3 linked regions of the Saccharomyces cerevisiae S288C genome follow. The protein of the gene in region 1 binds, or shares a complex with, the protein of each later gene. Each region holds a gene or a part of one and is shown in the gene's direction. Other genes may lie near its edges.

Region 1 (2,827 bases):
TTTAGAAGTGGGGGACTGTAGTTCTTTTATGAAGTAACGAAATTTTATGAAGTAACAACAAATGTTGTTAATTGTAATCTTAATAATCTAACATTTAATAAATCTTGACCTTAGACTTTTTTGTCTATTCATAATATGCTGATATTACTTTTCTTAAATATAAATATAATCTATATAATATTATTAACGAAATGTAGGAAGCTAAAAAAAAAAAAAAAAAAAAGAAAGAGACTTTTATGCGTATATTTAGGTACCCCGGTACTTACTTCTGTATATATAAATCAGTGAATCAATACATATTTTTTTTTAATGTTTTGTCCTTATAACGCGACTTATTCAAAAGAAAAAAAGAAGTCCCATGCAAAAATCTTGTCATTATTGCGAATGGATATATCAGTGAGACCTTTTTAAGGTTGTAGGGAAAAGGAAGTACGCTTCATTACAATTTCGTTCATGTCTTGCTCGCCTACTTGTTTTGCTCATAAATCCCATCAGCACCATTGTATGCGCCCTTCGTAGGAAATTAACGCATCTGAAGAAAAAAAGAACTGCAAGATAATGACACACAGCACGGTCATCGACTGTCGAAAGGAAACCTTAAAAAAGTAATCGGCACCTCAACCTTGATGAATTATAATCTATCCAAGTATCCAGACGACGTGTCGAGACTTTTCAAGCCAAGGCCACCTTTATCTTACAAAAGACCAACCGATTACCCATATGCGAAGAGACAAACAAATCCAAATATCACTGGCGTTGCAAACTTACTATCAACCTCTTTGAAGCACTATATGGAGGAGTTTCCTGAAGGATCTCCAAACAACCATCTCCAAAGATACGAAGACATCAAACTTTCCAAGATCAAAAATGCTCAATTGTTAGACCGGAGACTACAAAATTGGAATCCTAACGTTGACCCTCATATCAAGGACACAGATCCCTACAGAACGATATTTATTGGGAGGCTACCATACGATCTTGACGAAATTGAACTGCAAAAGTATTTTGTTAAGTTTGGCGAGATCGAAAAAATTAGGATAGTCAAGGACAAGATAACCCAGAAGAGTAAAGGCTACGCCTTCATAGTTTTCAAAGACCCAATAAGTAGTAAAATGGCATTCAAGGAGATTGGAGTACACAGAGGTATCCAAATCAAAGACAGAATCTGCATAGTCGACATAGAAAGAGGCAGAACCGTTAAATATTTCAAGCCAAGAAGATTGGGCGGCGGCCTAGGAGGCAGAGGCTATTCCAACAGAGACAGCAGGCTTCCAGGAAGGTTTGCAAGCGCAAGTACATCAAATCCCGCCGAAAGAAATTATGCTCCCAGGCTGCCACGCAGGGAAACTTCTTCCTCCGCATATAGCGCTGATAGATACGGCAGTTCCACATTGGACGCGAGGTACCGTGGAAACAGGCCATTGCTCTCCGCCGCCACTCCTACTGCTGCTGTTACTTCTGTATATAAATCTAGAAACTCACGGACTCGAGAGTCTCAACCAGCTCCCAAAGAAGCGCCCGACTATTGAATATAAGTAATACTTAAACTCTGCTACTTGTTGTCTATGATTACCCGCACATCAGTTAATTTGGATACTTTTTTCCCTTTCTCAGACTTTGCCCCTATAACAAAATAAGAGAAAAACAGCCCGCATTTAACACAAGATACTATAGCAAAGGAGACCAGAGAAGACTCAACACAACACACGCGAACGATCAAGCAATGGAAGCCGATTGGAGGAGAATTGACATCGATGCATTTGATCCAGAGAGTGGCAGACTAACCGCTGCCGATCTGGTACCACCATACGAAACTACTGTCACATTACAAGAATTACAACCTCGAATGAATCAATTGCGCTCGCTTGCCACAAGTGGTGACTCTTTGGGAGCCGTTCAATTACTCACAACCGATCCTCCATACAGTGCAGATGCTCCAACAAAGGAGCAATATTTTAAGAGCGTCCTTGAAGCATTGACACAAGTCAGGCAAGCCGATATTGGTAATGTAATCAAAAATTTGAGTGATTCTCAGAGGGACGTGCTGGTAAAGTATCTCTACAAAGGAATGTCCGTACCTCAGGGCCAGAAACAAGGGGGTGTCTTGCTTGCGTGGCTGGAAAGAATTACTCAAGTCAGTGGTGTCACACCTATCGTTCATTATATATCGGATAGAAGAACTGTATGATACTCTGCCCAGTAAAACTTAGTATAAAGAAATATACATATATATACGTAATTTTAAGGGTCGCGTTTGTTATATGCTTTTACTTCAGGCATTTCGCGGTGATGTAGGTATTGAGTTTTTTTTTAAAAAAATTGACATTGTTTGGCGAGGTTGAAGATATAAATGCCTGGATTTTAAAAAGCTCAGTTGCTACTCAAACCAAAATGTCAACAAATCAATTTGCACAAAACAAGTACGCATAAACTTTGAGAGCATGAGTGAGACCAATGGTGGCAATGCAGCCAGGGAAAATTCTGAGGTGAAACAAACTGCAGTTGAAAATCCTATCGATAAACTAGATGGAACTCCTAAGAGACCGAGGGAAAAAGATCAGGATGAACAAGCGGAAGAAACGAGTGACAAATCAGAAGCACCCAATAAAAATGATGAGGAGAAAAAGGAGGAAGGTAAAAAAGACCAAGAACCATCGCATAAGAAGATCAAGGTTGACGACGGAAAGACCGTAGAATCTGGTATTGTGGAAGATGACAAAAAGGAGGATAAATTCGTGTTTGGTGCCGCATCTAAATTTGGAACTGGGTTTGGTGTTGCCAAAAAGGACACGAAAGATGGAGATGCAACTACCAGTACTGAAAGTTT
Region 2 (3,440 bases), on another chromosome or scaffold:
AAAACAAGACAGACGCTGAGATGCCATCAACTATTAACATCGCAACAACAGAAAGTAATGCGCCAATTGCTGTAGTATACCTGTTAAAGTATTTGAAAGAGGGCCTGAAATTGGGAGCAGAGGAAATACCTAATAGGAAGCACGCCAAATTCATGACCACAAACGTCATTAAGAATGTCATTGTGATAAATGTGGCGATTTTATTGACGTCTGAAAACAAACATAGCTGTGTTAGAATCCAAGTAAAAATCAATGAATATAACGGTGAATGAGCAAAAATCTCCAAACCAGGAATAATGTTATCCTTTGCAATTGCTTCTAATACATAAGCAGCACCGAGCATCCCCACTATGATGGAGAAAAGAGAAGTAGCCATTTCACCCATGAATATAACCCACTGAACGGAACTGATCGTCTGTATAATTTGTACTTCATCATATAACGATCTTCTGGGAATGGAACAACCCATGGAGAAGACAACAACGGCATAACAGATAAAAGTGAAAAGTAAACCCCATAAGGTACCCTTAGGAATTGATTTAGAGGGCTTTCTCAATTCACTTGACATTCCTGCGCCCGCGAATATACCAGCTGTAGCAGGAAAAAAAACGCCAAATAAATCATTGAATGTTTCCTTACCTTTGAGTAACGAACCTGCTGCACCTTTTGTTAAGTGAGGGAGCAGGTTATCATGAAAAGTTTGCCATGAAGGACCTGTATAACTGATACCGCCTTCAGTGAATGGCGATCTTATCAATGCAGAAAGTGGAATGGAAAATATAGAAGCTGCCAGTACCAAAAAAAGAATATTCCCTGCTCTTGACACTGTTTGCGAGCCAACAAAAGCCACAGAAAAACATAAGAAAAGAATGACCGTGGCATATGTAAATTCGTGCCAATGCCCTCTTGGTAGTAGCTCTCCCAAAGCTGCAGGTGGCTCGCCTTGAGCAGAATAACCCAAGTTATAGAGTAAAGGTTCGATAATACCCACTGCGTTCATACCTGCATTGAACACCTGCCCTAAGAAAAAGACAAGCCCAATGGATCCACCAAATTCAGGTCCTAAACTTCTTGAAATCATATAATAAGCACCCCCGCCCCTAACAGTCCCGTTTGTAGATATAGCAGATATACTTAACGTGGTGAGAAGATTAATAGTGTAACTCAATAGCAGAAGACCGATGGTGCATATAATACCTAACTGACCCAAAATGAAGCCAAAACGAAGAAACATAAGGATAGACAATACGTTTAAAGCAGTAGGCACAAATACCCCATCGTATGTTCCCAACTTATCTTTGTTTGGGTTATCAGGATCATACTTAGAGGAAACTTTTTGGCATTCAGGGGTCGCCTGATAATTGAAATATGTTTGACTTATTCTCCTTGCAGACAACAGTGAAGAAGATTCATTTGAAGAAGATATTGCCGACGATGGCCGATGCGTACCTGGAATCTGATAAAACCTACTAACCATTAATCCTACAAGAAAGGCCTATTCTTAAAGAGAATTGGCTGGCAAAAACACTGTCTCTATCACTTCTTCGACAACAAGCACAACCATTTCTTAGATTTCCTTGTTACTCTTTAACAACAATGTTGATAATGAATCCTACGTTATCAGTTGCACAATTATCAAAATCTTCTTGTCACCCGCCCGCGCCTTGCCTATAATGAAAAAGGGTCAAATAAGAGCAATCTTGATCGAGAAAGCTTCCAGATTAGAAACAAAGAAAAATAGGAAAAATAAGCCGAAGTAAACGTATATTAGTTGAGAGTCTCCTAATGTCATTTTCCAATTCTAAAGACAAGTCCGTTGTTGCCGTCTACAAGCTGGTCAAAGCGCCAATCTACTCTCATTGCTTTTCTCAAGATAAATCTATTTTAGCCGTTACATGCGAAACAGATTGTCTTGTCTATAGAGTTTCAAACAACACACCTCCCGTTTTATTCGCAACGTTGAAAGATCATGATAAAACCATTACTGCTGTGGACATTTCCATACATGGTCGTATTGTGACTTGCTCCCAAGACCGTAATGCTTACGTTTGGGAGCCATTGAGTGATGGGACATACAAGCCCACGTTAGTACTTCTTCGTATTAACAGAGCAGCTACTTCAGTTACATGGGCACCAAATGGTTATAAGTTTGCTGTTGGGTCCAGTGCTAGAATCATCGCTGTTTGTTATTACGAACACGAGAATAATTGGTGGGTATCCAAGCACATCAAGAAACCCATCAAATCTACCATCAATTGCCTGTCTTGGCATGCAAATGGAGTCCTATTAGCTGCTGGTGGTACTGATGGGTTTATGCGTGTGTTCAGCGGGTTTATCAAGGGTTTGGATTCCAAGGAATCCGTCGCCGGATCACCCTGGGGCCAGAAATTCCCTTTTGGTTGTTTAATCAGGGAGTGGTATCAGGGTTCTTATATCCATGATGTGGAATGGAGAAGTCAGATGGAAAGAATTGCTTATGTAGCGCATGATGGTACTTTGAATGTTGTCGATTACCAATCTCCAGTGCAATCTGTCAATGCTCCGGAAGGTTTACCTTACAGGTCCTTAGTATGGATAAACGACCACGAGATTGTTTGTGGAGGATACTCTTGTCATCCGGTATTGTTCAGCGAAGCCTCTGAAGGCTGGAAATTTGCGAAGAATCTAGACAAATCAGACAATAACAAGTCTTCTGCCTTAACTGCATCTGGTAATACAGACGAGCTGAGTGGTAATAATGATGAAAGTTCAACTTTCGGTATTTCCGCATTGAGAAAGTTTAAAGAATTAGACTTGAAAGGTAAAGTTAGCACAGATGTCCAAGAAAGTGCACATGAAAACGCCATTGTGGAATTAAGACCTTTTGCGGAATCCAACGGCCAAATCACACAAGTCTCTTCCTGTGGGTTAGACGGTAAGATCGTCATTTATACAATTTAAATATACATACGTATATATATATATTGTTATGTGTATTCCCTACCTCATAATACACCTTGAGTTTGTATTGTTTTTTTCTTCACTTGGCATATACAGACTATATTATTACAACTCACAGCACAATGTAGTGTACCGTAAAAAATAAAGCATCAGAATCAATTTCTTGCACCAAACCATTATTTAGAATTGCTACCCAAAGACTCCTGTTCTTGCTTTCTTTGCAAGATAAGCGAGTACACGCTACCTTTTAGCAGTGTCCCAACTAAACCAATTTTGACCTCTATGTCCCTCATCTCCTGTAGTATCTCATCTGGCGATACAGTTTCTTGCTGTGAATGCTGTTGCCTGTGTTGCGAATAGTTTAGTTCTTTTATAGTTTCATCCAGAGCTTTTAGATCTAAAGAAAGCTGTTTGTATTTGTCCAATACTTCTTGCTGTAAAGGTGAAAGATTGTGTTCCATACTGTGACTACAACGCCGTGTATGTTTCACAGCGACTTT
Region 3 (2,549 bases), on another chromosome or scaffold:
TCCAGACCCGTGGACATTATTTAGGCTACTGTGACTGTTTGAAGAGTGATGATGATGATGATGATGATGAGGATCTGAGAATGGGTTGGAAGTTATATCATATTTTTGCGTAGCTTTCCTGCTGTTAGAAGTCTTCGATTGAAAAGATGATGCAATATTTTTTAGAGTAGATGAGTTCAACGACATCGATCTAGATGATATAGAATGTGAATGTTGAGGGTAATTACTGTTACTACTACCCACTTGATAATGTGCGCCATTATTATTAGTATTATTATTATTATGATTGTTAATATTATTATGCTGAATATGCTGGTGATGTTGGTGCTGTTCGTGCAAGTCTTTGGAACTTGGTCTCGAAAAGAAACCAAACCCTTGCAAAGGCGATTTTCTAGCCTGTGTAGGAGTGGTTGATGCACTGCCGGTGGAAAAACTGCTCTGCTTCTTAAGACCAGCAAGTGCTAGTTGCGGGAGCGAAGGTTTCCTCTTAGGCACAAAAGCTGTAGTACTTTTATTCTTCTGGTAAACTTCATTTCTTGGAGACATTGGAGGCAAAGGGTGGTCATTATAGTGCTTGGCTTGTCTACTAGCACTATTACTCGTTGAATATATATGGGACATCGATTTAGCATGAACAATGGGATGGGAAGATGTGGCATCTCTTGCCTTCTTTGGACTGCTCACAGGTGTATTATCAGCACTAGACAAACTTTGTGTATCTGGAACTTCCTTAATATTAGTCTGCTGCGATAAAATGTAATTTGAGCTTTTCCCCTTCATTTCGTTATTTGGTATATCAGAATCATCGATGGCGGCTTCAACTCCAGAACGTCTCCTCTGCTTGGCAATAATGATGTCATTAGCAATGTCTTCAGAAAGCAGAACATTTAGATTCTGGATATTTTCGATTCTATTAGGCAGCAGCTGAGAACTTATGTCTCCGTGCGAGTCACTATCAAAAGTAGCGAAGGAATCTGGCCTCCTTTCTACACCAAATATTTGGGAGTATATGTCATTTCTGTCCCCTAAGCTGTCAACGTTGGTTTCGCTCATAACCGCAGGAAAAGAGATGAATTGTCCAATTAAGTCAGCAGTAATAGAGCACTGTAATCGATTACACTAACAGAGCGAATGAATATATTAATGACCACAAACAACAAATAAAAAAATAGCTATAAAACAGCAAAAAAAAAATCCAGGAAAACCTAATCGGCTCAATACTGTTATTAAATTAGGTCGTCAGTACTCACTGGTCATAATGCCCTTTAAAAACTTTCTTCAAGCCTTAGGACCTCGGACTTCCATACCATTGTTTTCACTATCATTCTCTCTCAGTTTCACAGACTCGGCCGTTACGCGGATCATCCACCACGAACCCCTATCCTTTCCGTTGCGGTTTGGTTTAGTATAACAATGAATAACAATAAATTAAACACTTGGTGCGCAGTAACAAACATCAATAAAGGAAGATTATTGGTATTATCAGTCTCTCCACTCCCAGTATATTAATAAATGCCTGCGTATCACTCGACTTTCCCTGTAGATCCTAACACTGACCGCATGGTAGGGAACTTTGCGCTTCTGCCCTTGAACACTAAGTTCAGGGGTCCTGCATACCCCAGCAATTCCGATTACGATATTATCGACGAGTGCTTGGACCTATTTCGTGCCAATTCCTTCTTCAAGAATTTTGAAATTAAATCACCCGCCGACAGAGTGCTCATCTACGGAATTCTCTTTATCAATGATTGCCTAGCCCATTTGAAAATAACAACGTCATTTAACGAAGCCGTCAAAGTGTTAACCAATGTGGCCTTGGACAACTTTACTTTACCAGGTACACCGGGTTTCCCTCTGAATAATGTTTACCAAGTTCCAGTACAAGATCATAATTCGATGGACTTGTTGAAGACTTATATTCAGCAATTCCGTCAAGAATTGGCAATGAGACTATTAGAAAGAGTCTATAGCTCTACAGATTCTAAGGAATATCCCTCAAAGTTTTGGTTGGCGTTCACAAGAAGAAGATTCATGAACAAATCTCTATAAAGGTATACGGTGCAAGGAAAATAATAAAAACTAGAATTTATGGGAACATAATAATCCACATGCAACTTTATTTGAACCGAAAATTTGAAACGGGAAAGAAATATATAAATGTATAAAGTATAAATACGTCAAAATATGCTTTAATGAACGATATACACGTTAATATACAAGTCTTATTTGTGTTTTGTTCACTTATTTACCTTGATTCTGCTGGTTTTTTGTTGCGCTTTGGAATAATTTTAATGCCCTACCCTGTAGCGCATCCGTAGCTTTTTTTATTCCGTTTACATCAATTGACATGTCATTTTCGTTAGCCTTAAAATTCTTTATAGCTTGTCTCAGAGCTTTGATGTCCTCTACGATATTAGAATACTCTTTTTCGCTAGAAATCAGTTTTTCATATCTTTTAAATAAATTCTCAGTATCACTTATCATAATGTCAGCCTTAGAGATAAGCTCTAACCTTTGCCTGATCAAGTTATCTTGTGCCCTATTTGCAT

Evidence for each region.
Region 2: ARC15 (region 1) and ARC40 share a complex: the UniProt entries of both Saccharomyces cerevisiae proteins name them as parts of the arp2/3 complex.
Region 3: ARC15 (region 1) and ARC18 share a complex: the UniProt entries of both Saccharomyces cerevisiae proteins name them as parts of the arp2/3 complex.

The regions. Positions count from the first base shown.
Region 1 is NC_001141.2:243,359-246,185, reverse strand, and holds ARC15 (Arc15p), read left to right. Parts: upstream 1-1,723; coding exon 1,724-2,188; downstream 2,189-2,827. Other genes in the region: U1 snRNP complex subunit SNP1, read left to right, coding at 627-1,529; YRB2 (Yrb2p), read left to right, coding at 2,442-2,827. UniProt on the Saccharomyces cerevisiae protein: Functions as a component of the Arp2/3 complex which is involved in regulation of actin polymerization and together with an activating nucleation-promoting factor (NPF) mediates the formation of branched actin networks.
Region 2 is NC_001134.8:684,938-688,377, reverse strand, and holds ARC40 (Arc40p), read left to right. Parts: upstream 1-1,785; coding exon 1,786-2,940; downstream 2,941-3,440. Other genes in the region: VHC1 (Vhc1p), read right to left, coding at 1-1,477; DAD3 (Dad3p), read right to left, coding at 3,117-3,401. UniProt on the Saccharomyces cerevisiae protein: Functions as a component of the Arp2/3 complex which is involved in regulation of actin polymerization and together with an activating nucleation-promoting factor (NPF) mediates the formation of branched actin networks.
Region 3 is NC_001144.5:861,218-863,766, reverse strand, and holds ARC18 (Arc18p), read left to right. Parts: upstream 1-1,512; coding exon 1,513-2,049; downstream 2,050-2,549. Other genes in the region: Rho family guanine nucleotide exchange factor ROM2, read right to left, coding at 1-1,053; Hsp70 family ATPase SSQ1, read right to left, coding at 2,242-2,549. UniProt on the Saccharomyces cerevisiae protein: Functions as a component of the Arp2/3 complex which is involved in regulation of actin polymerization and together with an activating nucleation-promoting factor (NPF) mediates the formation of branched actin networks.